Linked DNA regions of Saccharomyces cerevisiae S288C. The gene in region 2 interacts genetically with the main gene of each other region. Each region holds a gene or a part of one and is shown on either strand. Other genes may lie near its edges.

Region 1 (3,046 bases), on a different chromosome or scaffold from region 2:
GTCACAAAGTGGCGTATGGCAAATGGTAGAAATTCCCAACAGTGAAGAGATCTTTGAAGCCGATATCATTTTGTTGTCTATGGGTTTCGTGGGTCCTGAATTGATCAATGGCAACGATAACGAAGTTAAGAAGACAAGACGTGGTACGATTGCCACACTCGACGACTCCTCATACTCTATTGATGGAGGAAAGACTTTTGCATGTGGTGACTGTAGAAGAGGGCAATCTTTGATTGTCTGGGCCATCCAAGAAGGTAGAAAATGTGCTGCCTCTGTCGATAAGTTCCTAATGGACGGCACTACGTATCTACCAAGTAATGGTGGTATCGTTCAACGTGATTACAAACTATTGAAAGAATTAGCTAGTCAAGTCTAAAAAGCTTGAGTTATTATTTATTTTATGATCGTATATTATTTATTTATTTATTTATTTATTTATTTATTTATTTATTTATTTATTTATTTTATTTAGTTTATTAATTTTGCTGATGAATGTTATTTCAATTAAACATAGTTTTCAAAGAACTGAAAAACCCTGATTTCTTCTTCTTCTTCTTCTTCTTCTCTTTACCATTGTCATCTTTCAAATTAAACTTATCTTCATCATCATCGTTTAAGTTATGGTTGATAGTGTTCCTGCTTGACTTTGGAGAAATTATGTTTCCAGCGCCACCTCTTCCAATAGCAAATTTTTCCGGTGCGCTTTTGCCCTTGAGCTTATTTTTAGGCTTCTTGGACGTGGACTTGATTGCCGCCAAAGCATTGCCATTGGAAGTCACCACAAACAGGTTGTCCTCGTTTGCATTGATAGTATCCTCATCCTCGATATTGCCGCCTCGTATCTCATCCTCTTCATTTCCACCATTGCTGGCCACCTTTTTTTTGTTGAAGAAAATGTTTCCTGCCCCACCTCTACCAACGACAATTGGGGCGTTGTTGTTCGGAGACGAAGTGGTGGCATGCAAAGACTGATGGCTCCTTGTAGCGCTGATACGAGACCTGGTGTTGGTCACCGGGTTTGACCCACCTTCATCCACCATATCCGAAGTTATAGGGGAAATATAATCGTCGATGTCATTGATCACGTCGTTATAGTTGATATTGTCGTTAGAGTCCAGTTGTTGGGCGGATCTCGTCAGGTGCGGATCATGAAAGATATTACCGGCACCACCTCTACCAATTGCAAAACGAGGAACCTTTTCCTGGTTGCTACCGTTATTATTGTTGTTTGCTACTGTCTTTGAATTGGATTTCAATGGAAGAAGTACGGGAGACGGCTTGGACATAGATTTATGGATGTTGCCAGCTCCGCCTCTGCCAGTGGAGACCTTGTACTCTTGTACACGTGCCTGGTTCTCCATCTCGTTTTGTGGGTTGAACGTAGCCATACTAACTTGGTCTTACGCTACTGCTGCTGCTAACGCTGCTGCTGCTTTTGCTCATATGCTTCCATTGACCGTCATTAGTATCAGCGTCAGCCTTTTTGACATAAGCCACCGCTCTGTCAGGGTAACCCTATGAAACATTTCAAAACGTTATAAAGGAACTCGTCTGGTTACAACAAGGAAATATCACTACAAACAGCTGTCCGTACGGCTCCTCAACTCTCTCAATGTTGTTCGCCTGGTCACACACAGCATAGTTTCGTCATTCGGCGCCGACGGTCGCTGTCTCTTGGAGCCTTCAAGCTCTTGTCAACCCAGGTCCGTTGTGCCGATAAAAGTAACAGCAGACCCCCACGCCCGCATCCCACTCTCTTCTCCGACCACCTCCCTCGAAGTTCTTCCCTGCCAATCCCACGTCGATCCAGCGTAGTTGGCCCCAACTGGTGCAGTAATAACCGCTTAGCGATTTTGCACTCGGAACTACATATGTATATATATATGTGTGTGTGTGTGTGGGCTGGAAAGATTTCTTGAGCTTCCGTGTTATAGTGCAATTTAAATATTGTACATCATTCCGATCCAGCTGGAAACAAAAGCAAGAACAATGTTGTGGAAGCGTACTTGCACAAGGCTAATAAAGCCTATTGCACAACCTAGAGGAAGGCTGGTGAGAAGATCATGCTACAGATACGCCTCAACAGGCACAGGCAGCACCGACAGCAGCAGCCAGTGGTTAAAATACTCTGTCATCGCCTCTTCAGCTACTCTATTCGGTTATTTGTTCGCTAAGAACCTCTATTCTAGGGAGACTAAGGAAGATTTGATAGAGAAGCTGGAAATGGTCAAAAAGATCGACCCAGTAAATTCTACGTTAAAGCTGTCCTCATTGGACTCACCAGACTATTTGCACGACCCGGTTAAGATCGATAAGGTTGTTGAGGACCTGAAGCAGGTGCTGGGAAACAAGCCTGAAAACTACTCTGATGCGAAATCCGATTTGGACGCCCATTCAGATACCTACTTCAACACGCATCACCCCTCTCCCGAGCAAAGACCTAGGATTATATTATTCCCTCATACTACCGAAGAAGTTTCCAAAATTTTGAAAATATGTCACGATAACAACATGCCAGTTGTACCCTTCTCGGGCGGAACGTCCTTGGAGGGGCACTTCCTGCCTACAAGAATTGGAGATACCATAACCGTAGACCTGTCCAAGTTTATGAATAACGTCGTAAAATTTGACAAGCTGGACCTGGACATCACCGTGCAGGCCGGTCTACCCTGGGAGGATTTGAATGACTATTTGAGCGACCACGGTTTGATGTTTGGCTGTGACCCTGGTCCAGGTGCACAGATTGGTGGTTGCATTGCTAATTCTTGTTCAGGAACCAACGCCTACCGTTACGGTACCATGAAGGAGAATATTATAAACATGACTATAGTGTTGCCGGACGGGACCATTGTCAAGACGAAGAAAAGACCCAGAAAGTCGAGCGCTGGCTATAACTTAAATGGTTTATTTGTGGGAAGTGAAGGTACCTTAGGTATTGTTACTGAAGCTACTGTCAAGTGTCATGTCAAGCCCAAAGCTGAAACTGTTGCGGTGGTATCCTTTGATACTATCAAGGATGCGGCCGCATGTGCTTCTAATCTGACTC
Region 2 (3,185 bases):
AGACTATTCTTGAATTAGCATTAGCCACTATAAATTTTAACATTTTTCAGAGTCTTTCGTGCGGAGACCGTAAATATTAGCATTGACCTTGTCAATGAAGTAATTGTCTTTGATTTTAACCGTGTTAAAGATTTCGCAAAAGAGAAAGCTTGCTGGCTTGGAGCAGTAACTTTTTTTGATTTTTTTTTACAAGCACACATGCTTTTGCCTTTAGAATATTACGGCTCCTCATGTGGATAGTAAAAACTTGACCGTTGCATCTGTTCTCCTTCGAACAAAGAATAAATCGTCTGAAAAATCACATAGAAAAATAATAGAAAAATAAAAAACATAGTAACATATTTTAAAAGAGACCTTTTATTGAAGAAAATTTGGCGATAAAAATGATTATAACATTGAAATGACGAAGAAAAGGACAGTGCCCGAATTCTCGATTCCAATAAAAGGCGAAAAATTACAATCGCCAGCATGTTTGGTACGGGGCGACTCGTGGCATTTTAAAGTACGCTGGCATGTTTAAAGGTATTAGTGTTCTTGGCGTGGAAAGTGCAGGTGTCTCACTTTTTAGAACGAACAAATTCAAACAATATACAACAATCCGCCGAAAACATTCCAGAAATTAAGATTGTTAAGCACTTTTGCTAAGAAAAAAAAAGGGCTCTCCCCTGTGAATTAACTCAAAGGTAGCGTGTTCTGCCTATGCAAGGTGACCGTTTTTGCAGATATTGTAGTGAGATGCTCTACAAAAGGGGTTTCCTAATCTAATCTTTTACCATATCAAAAATGCCCTAATATTATTATTAAAGAGCTATCAAAGCCTGATTCCTTAGGTATATGACTAGTTCCCGAATTAATGGCATTGATTCATTACTTATTTTATTAGGGGGATGATAAAAATAATGATATCTTTTTCTGCAGCGTCATTTAAGTACTGATTGAGACTGACAGTTGTGATAGAGATATTAAGTAGTAGAAACGGTCCATGAATTGTTCTTTGTTAATATTCTTGCTGAGGGAGGCTTTTCTTTTGGGCTGCTATGCTTTCATTCTACTTAAGCAACGAGATAGGAAGCTTCAAAAGGTGAATGGTGAAATGCTGAAGAAGATTTCGTCATTCCAATCCTCGAGAGTGCGACGTAAGTAGTGACTCTAATGAATTTTCTATGCCTCATAAAGCTTGAGGTATATTTATCCATACGCAAATAATACACGATCTAGGATTATTGTAGTATGTTATTGTTTGACAATATCCTTGGACAAGTTCTAATCACTTATATTTCCCAAACATGATTCGTGTATTTTGGCGTTAGAAAACGACGGCAAGTAAGCTCCCAACATTTACTTGACGAGTTTTTTGTCACTATCATCACGCCCTAGAGCCAAGTTATATTTTTATCGTAAATTCTGTAAATTAACAGTCATTCTAAGCAGGTTGTTTTAATATTTACAGGTAACTTGGCTGACTTCTTTTAAATGTGGCTTCTATGACAAAAAAACTGAAAAAAATGACTAATTAGTAAATTCAGCCTCTTATCATAAAATCAGGGTCTATAGGACGGTACGTGAGAAAAAGATAAGCTTTGGAATATAAAGAGTTACATTTTCATTCTGCAAAAATTCAAATAAAGGAGTATTGAAAAAAAACTTAAAAAGTACAAATAATTAATATAGTTCGAGATATTTAGTTTTCATTGAGTTGGAAAAATGATTGTTCCCACTTATGGAGACGTTTTGGATGCCAGCAACAGAATTAAAGAATATGTAAATAAAACACCGGTTCTCACTTCACGAATGCTTAATGATCGACTTGGAGCACAAATATACTTTAAAGGTGAGAATTTCCAACGAGTGGGAGCGTTCAAGTTTCGTGGAGCAATGAATGCTGTTTCAAAATTAAGTGATGAAAAAAGAAGTAAGGGAGTAATTGCCTTCTCATCAGGAAACCATGCACAGGCTATTGCTCTTAGTGCAAAACTATTAAATGTACCTGCAACAATTGTTATGCCCGAGGATGCGCCCGCCCTTAAAGTTGCTGCTACAGCCGGTTACGGAGCACATATCATAAGGTATAACAGGTATACTGAAGATCGCGAGCAGATTGGGCGTCAACTAGCAGCCGAACATGGTTTTGCATTGATTCCGCCCTACGATCATCCTGATGTTATTGCAGGGCAAGGTACGTCGGCAAAAGAGCTATTAGAAGAGGTTGGACAACTTGATGCATTATTTGTTCCTTTGGGCGGTGGTGGGCTCCTTTCAGGATCTGCACTTGCCGCTAGAAGCCTTTCTCCAGGCTGCAAAATTTTTGGGGTTGAACCTGAAGCTGGTAACGATGGACAACAATCCTTCAGATCGGGTTCCATTGTTCATATCAATACGCCAAAAACTATCGCAGATGGCGCTCAAACACAACACCTCGGTGAGTACACATTTGCCATTATTCGCGAAAATGTCGATGATATTTTAACGGTTAGCGACCAAGAGCTAGTAAAATGCATGCACTTTCTTGCGGAACGCATGAAGGTGGTTGTTGAGCCCACAGCTTGTTTGGGATTTGCAGGTGCACTTCTAAAAAAGGAAGAGCTAGTTGGGAAGAAAGTAGGCATAATACTAAGTGGAGGTAATGTAGACATGAAGAGATATGCTACTTTAATCTCTGGGAAGGAAGATGGCCCAACGATTTAGTGTATACTTTTGAATTTTGAGTTCAGTTTTATAGTGAAGAATTGGAAAGCTTTAGTTGTCTACTTTCACACGGCATATATCATTTGACTTAACATTAATAACATGGTTGAGATTTTGAAGTGAGTTCAGCAAAAAAAGCCTCTAGCTGATTTATACTCTGATAACTCTACATATTTTTCTACTAGTATTATATTTCACTGAACTGACACCCTTATGTGGGAAAATTTTTTGGCAGAATGATAGTGTGTGAGAGGGAAGAATACTGCTTATGTCAAACTAATAATATAACTTCTGACTGTGACTATGAGCATTACTGGTATATTAGTTTCTTTTGCATATTTTGAACTAAAACAGAAGAGCGTTCCTAGGCTTACACCCAGTAAAGACATAGCTTCTAAGTTGAAAAAACATATCTCTACTTCAATTAAAGGTAACTGTCATAATGTCCTATTTTATACGCAGAAAAAATTCTCTTTTCCACACACAATATCGTCTGCTCT
Region 3 (2,555 bases), on a different chromosome or scaffold from region 2:
TAGACCAGGGAGAACGTGAAGAAATGGAACAAAGACTGAAAAGTATGAAATCGAGATTGCAATCAATGAAAAACAAAGATCTCGAGCGTGAAATTCTCAAGGAATACGAAAATGATATGAATAAAAACAATAATACGAGATACCATTTGAAAAAGTCTGAGAAACGTAAAGTGGTGCAAAAGTGGAAATTTGATCACATGAAGGCCAAGCAACGTGAAAAGGTCATGGAAAGGAAAAGGAAGAAGAGATTGGGTAAAGAGTTTAAACAATTTGAATTTCATAATCGTAGGTAGAGTATTTAAGCAAAAGAATGCACATTAAAGTAATATATAGAGAAAGATAAAAAAATAAACGCACACATAAACTAATGGAAGTAAGAGGTTATCCGCGAACCACAAGGAGAAAATCGAATGAATCGGAGAGGTGACAACAAAAAATTTGAAATACACAAAAGGTTGTCTATATACAGGATATATCGATTATACTTGTTTCTTTTTGGCTTATTTTTTGGGCTTAACGTCAGCACCACCTTTAGCTAACCACTCAGTAATAGAACCAGGATAGATACCAGTGTTTTCGTACCCATAAGATCGAGCCAACTCTTCGGCAGTTTTGGCTCTTACTCCTTTCGCACAAAGAAAAATCAATTCTTTATCGTGAGGTGGTTTAGCAAATTGGAAAACTTTGTGAAACTCCTTTTCGGGCAATCCAAGAGCGCCAGGGGCACTATTCACCGGAATATTTATTGTAGTTGGCATCTTGTAATCCTTTACTTCCTTGGGTTCCCTTACATCTACCAATAGTTTTTTATCATTGGGGTGTTCGACTAGGTTCCTGACCTGGTCAAAAGTATAGATCTTTGGAGCCTTCGTTGTAAATGTTCTCAGGACCAATGTAGGCGATCTTGCAGAAACTGTCCTCGAGAGAATACCTGTACTATGCTTGAACATCGTTGGTCTTTTTCTTCTGTCTCGCTTCCATTTGTTGAGAGTTATCGCTATCTTATTCCATTCAGATTAAGTTTTGTATTTTTTTTTTTATACTTCCTAATTTCTTTGCGCCGCCGCTATCACAGCCAATGCAATAGGCAAATATTATGAACGGTGTGACATAAATGGCATAATACGTTACTAGCTTACGAAAATACACAGGGTACATACCTAGAGTATACAAGGCTATAAGTCAAGTTTATCACCCCCATGAGAAACCCAATCATTCATAGAGCCAGGATATAGTGAGGTGTTTGAATATCCATGTGAGGAGGCGACTTTTTGAGCTTCTCCCCCGCGTTTGCCAGAAGCACAATAAAATATTAGCTCCTTGGCACTGTCAGGTTTTGGGATGCCAATCTGTTTCTCAAATTCTAAAGGATCTAAGGCAAATGCGTCAGGGTGCGATCTATATGGCACATTGATGGAAGCAGGAATATGAACAATCGAGTACTCAGATGGTTCTCTAACATCTACCAAAACCACATTAGGATCATGCTTTCCAACGATTCTTTTCATGTCTTCAAAACTGTAAGATTGAATATTTGAAACATTCTTACTTTGACTCTCGGTTCCATTCCAAGCATTCATCACGGCCTTCCACATTTTAATATCGTTTCTTAGTCACAAACCCTGAAAATAAACGAGAAAGAATTCTTTGATTGATTAAGCCTCCACTCTCTTTTATACACCTCAAAAATTCTCCCCTTACTTCCTTCCCCGCGGGTAATAATATTCTCCAAAAAAAATACAAAAGCAATCAGATGTAACTTATATAGGTTCCAAGATAAATAACAAATTATTTGTCATTGCAAGTAGGAAAAGGACATACCGTAGGTGATATCTGGATTTGGGCCTTATGGAAGCCAATCTTAGTAGTAATTCGTCCATATGTCTACCAAAGGGGATAACAAAAAAGTACAACTACAAATTTTTCACACAGTGTCCCGTTAATTTCATATACTCAATATGCTGCGTTTAATCAAGAAAAATTCTGATATTTTGCGACAGAAGGTGTCCCTGGAAAGCGCTTAGTATGCTGTATGATCTTTGAAGTACAATGCACAGGGAAATAAATCACCATATCTGACGATCATCTTGCTAGTTTCTAAGTTCGGAACATCTTGTCTATGCGCCAATAAAACTAGTTTTACATCGTACAGAAACACTGTCCACTTAGAACTGGACACTTGTTTGCCCAGTATAGTTCTGATACTATTATTATGTATAATTCCCTCAATATTAAGCACTTTATGCAAACGTGTTGGCCCATTGAGGCATTGATATACGGCAAGTAATAGCACCTTTTGCTTCTTACCTTTATCAATTTGGAAATAATGTTCGAATTCTATTTTATTTTGCAGAATCCTTAGTATATTTTCTTCGTCGAACTTTTGTACACTATTTAGCTGAAACTTCATAAGCTTTCCGCTCAAATTAACCTTTGCATTTGTTGATGTCTGGCTATTCATTGGGGATGGGACCGGCTGGTGAGTGGACCTCTTACATTGTAATGATTTGTTCCTTTTCTGTAAAAGTTGTAGAAACGCGTCGTAGTACTTCTGC
Region 4 (3,392 bases), on a different chromosome or scaffold from region 2:
ACACACACACACACCTTCTTCTGGATACCGTAGAGAAAGGGATGTAGACAAATAAAAAAGGACAAAAGCTAGAAAAAAGACGGAAGAGGACGTGCGATTGCGTTGAATATGACCTTCGCAAATAAATATTAATAAATATGACGTTTTTGCCGCAATGCTAATTCTATAACCCACTCCTTCGTTGCCTTCTATGCTTTAATTAAACAATGGGTCCGGCTCAAACCTGGAAGGAAGATTTATAAATCTTGAAAAGAAAAAAAAGTGTGATTTAAAAAAATGAAAAAGAAAAACAAGAGGGCAAAAAAAAATGAACTACTTATTGAGACATGATTCAAGGGAAAAGACCTTCATATATACAGATTACTTTTCGAAATGGTCAGCCGCTTCATGAGCTCTTCTTGGCTGTATCGTACCACCGTGGTTCAATTAGGCAAGTATGTTGCTAAGATTAATTGCTGCGGCGCATCGTATAAGGTGATATACTAAATTCATTATCATCACTATGCATGGGTGTCATTATTATTAACATGGGAAATGGGCCCACTCCCAAGGACTCTATCGTCGATATATAGACAGCACGATTGCCCAGGAGTTATGGCACGTTGTTTTGAGGCTAAGTGTATTGTTATGTCGAGGTTGTCGGCAGAGCGATTCAGTTTGCACGATTTAATTTGGACTGGGACCTGCAGGGACCGGAATTGTAATGTCAAGGCACCAGTATTTTGGAAAGCGTTTATAGTGTCCTCCCTGGGGCCCAAAGACGAAAAGTTTTCGATTCGCATAGTGTCACTGTATAGCGCCGGATTATCTCTTCCTCTGACTATCAAGATTTCGTTGGTATCCCTTAGTTTTTCACTGACAAACCAGGTCCCTTGGTAATTAGGGTCAGCTTGTGGCATGGATATGCCCACTTTCTGTCCAATTGTGTAAGACCACAATCCATCGTGTCTGCCCCATGTCGTTTTGGCACCGGATTGTGGGTCAACGGTAATGATATCACCCGGTGAACTGGGTAGGTAGTGCTTTAAAAAATTCTTGAACTTCCCATGCTGGGAATTGTTGACGAAGCATATGCCCTGTGAATCAGGCTTTTCTGCAGTCGGGAGGCCTGCATACTTCGCTAAATCTCGTACTTCTGGTTTCGTTAGATGGCCAATGGGTAGCAACAAAGATGACAAAACAGTGGAGTTGATTTGTGAAAGGTAATAGCTTTGATCCTTGGGCCTATAAATGCTTCTCAGTAAATGGAATAATCCTTTTCCATTCATTTCCTGCATAACTCGGGCGTAATGACCAGTAACAAGCCAATAGTTACCCGTCCCATACTTCTCATCCAGCCACTCTCTCAGCTTGCCGAACTTGACGAACTTGTTGCAACCGATATCTGGATTGGGTGTCGACCCTTCACTGTAGCCTCTCAACATTGGTTCAAATACATCTATCCAATAATCTTGCTCAAAATTAACTTTGTCAACTCGGATGTTCAAATGCTTAGCGACACGGTTCACATCTCTCCAATCCCTCTCGTAGCATGGCTCCTTGCCAGGGTCGTCCAAAGATTGTGATTCAGACCAGTTCTGCATATATACTCCTCGGGTATTTGGAAATTCTCCGGCAAATAGTGCTGCCGCCACAGAGGAATCTACCCCAGATGACATTGCCACTATCACGTTGTCAAACTTTGCCGGTAGCCGCTGTGGTCTGTACGGTGAAGCACTCCTCCGTCCTATTAAATTTAAATATCTTGCCAGCATTGTTATCTGACTTGAATCGATTGCCAAATCAATACGCTCACATTTTTAACGTTCTTGTATGTTTCCAAACTTTCATTCTTTTACAATAAAGCAATGTTTTGCCTCAACTATTGAAAGAAAAAAATAAGAGACCAATTGTTACTACCCGGCGCTCTTAAAATTTTCAAGCGATGAGATGAAATTCATACAAAATGGCTTTACAGAGAGTTACTAGTACTTCACTAACTTCCTACTGCTTGAAGTAAAGTCACTAAAAGTACTTTTGTCATTTAAGTTACCACCACATATCTCTTTAACCTAGAATATGGCAGGCGTGCAGAAAAGAAAAAGGGATCTCGAAGATCAAGACGACAATGGAAGCGAGGAGGACGACATCGCCTTTGATATTGCAAATGAAATTGCCTTAAATGATAGTGAGAGTGATGCTAACGACTCCGATAGTGAAGTTGAAGCTGATTATGGTCCCAACGATGTCCAGGATGTGATCGAGTACAGCTCAGATGAAGAAGAAGGAGTGAACAATAAGAAGAAGGCTGAAAACAAGGACATCAAGAAAAAAAAGAATAGTAAGAAGGAAATAGCAGCATTTCCAATGTTAGAAATGTCAGATGATGAAAACAATGCATCTGGTAAAACTCAAACCGGTGATGATGAGGATGATGTCAATGAATATTTCTCCACAAATAACTTGGAGAAAACAAAGCATAAAAAAGGTAGTTTTCCCAGCTTTGGCCTATCCAAAATTGTATTGAACAATATTAAAAGGAAGGGATTTCGCCAACCCACTCCTATTCAAAGGAAGACTATCCCATTAATTTTGCAAAGTAGGGATATTGTTGGTATGGCACGTACCGGTTCTGGTAAGACTGCAGCATTCATCTTGCCAATGGTGGAAAAATTGAAAAGTCACTCAGGTAAAATTGGCGCCCGTGCAGTCATCTTATCGCCTTCCAGAGAATTAGCCATGCAGACTTTCAACGTTTTCAAGGATTTTGCCAGAGGAACAGAACTAAGAAGCGTCCTCTTGACTGGTGGTGATTCCTTGGAAGAACAATTTGGCATGATGATGACCAACCCAGACGTTATTATTGCAACACCTGGTAGATTTTTACATCTGAAAGTTGAAATGAACCTCGATTTGAAGAGTGTTGAGTACGTTGTTTTCGATGAAGCTGATAGGTTGTTCGAAATGGGTTTTCAAGAACAGTTGAATGAATTACTTGCATCTTTGCCTACAACAAGACAGACTTTGTTGTTTTCTGCTACTCTACCTAATTCATTGGTTGATTTTGTTAAGGCTGGTTTGGTTAATCCAGTTTTGGTTCGTTTGGACGCGGAAACGAAAGTTTCAGAGAACTTAGAAATGCTTTTTCTATCCAGTAAAAACGCAGATAGAGAGGCGAACCTATTATATATTTTGCAAGAAATCATAAAGATTCCGTTAGCCACTAGTGAACAACTTCAAAAGCTGCAAAATAGTAACAATGAGGCAGATAGTGACTCAGATGATGAAAATGATCGCCAAAAGAAGAGGAGGAATTTCAAGAAGGAAAAGTTCCGTAAACAAAAAATGCCTGCAGCTAATGAACTTCCTTCTGAAAAAGCAACTATTCTGTTCGTTCCAACAAGACATCATGT

The links.
Region 1: mutations in SRY1 (region 2) and PAR32 together harm fitness more than expected from each alone (negative genetic interaction), as found in Saccharomyces cerevisiae (2 studies listed by BioGRID).
Region 3: mutations in SRY1 (region 2) and RDL2 together harm fitness more than expected from each alone (negative genetic interaction), as found in Saccharomyces cerevisiae (2 studies listed by BioGRID).
Region 4: mutations in SRY1 (region 2) and SLM3 together harm fitness less than expected from each alone (positive genetic interaction), as found in Saccharomyces cerevisiae (2 studies listed by BioGRID).

The regions. Positions count from the first base shown.
Region 1 is NC_001136.10:146,533-149,578, reverse strand, and holds PAR32 (Par32p), read right to left. Parts: upstream 1,389-3,046; coding exon 501-1,388; downstream 1-500. Other genes in the region: GLT1 (glutamate synthase (NADH)), read left to right, coding at 1-376; DLD1 (D-lactate dehydrogenase), read left to right, coding at 1,990-3,046. UniProt on the Saccharomyces cerevisiae protein: Involved in resistance to cisplatin.
Region 2 is NC_001143.9:16,859-20,043, reverse strand, and holds SRY1 (threo-3-hydroxy-L-aspartate ammonia-lyase SRY1), read left to right. Parts: upstream 1-1,704; coding exon 1,705-2,685; downstream 2,686-3,185. UniProt on the Saccharomyces cerevisiae protein: Catalyzes the deamination of L-threo-3-hydroxyaspartate to oxaloacetate and ammonia. Shows a high specificity towards L-threo-3-hydroxyaspartate as other 3-hydroxyaminoacids, i.e.
Region 3 is NC_001147.6:848,675-851,229, reverse strand, and holds RDL2 (thiosulfate sulfurtransferase RDL2), read right to left. Parts: upstream 951-2,555; coding exon 501-950; downstream 1-500. Other genes in the region: rRNA-processing protein RRP36, read left to right, coding at 1-293; thiosulfate sulfurtransferase RDL1, read right to left, coding at 1,176-1,595; HUA2 (Hua2p), read right to left, coding at 2,021-2,555. UniProt on the Saccharomyces cerevisiae protein: Thiosulfate sulfurtransferase which catalyzes the transfer of sulfane sulfur from thiosulfate to cyanide.
Region 4 is NC_001136.10:392,159-395,550, forward strand, and holds SLM3 (tRNA-5-taurinomethyluridine 2-sulfurtransferase), read right to left. Parts: upstream 1,755-3,392; coding exon 501-1,754; downstream 1-500. Other genes in the region: ATP-dependent RNA helicase DBP10, read left to right, coding at 2,059-3,392. UniProt on the Saccharomyces cerevisiae protein: Catalyzes the 2-thiolation of uridine at the wobble position (U34) of mitochondrial tRNA(Lys), tRNA(Glu) and tRNA(Gln).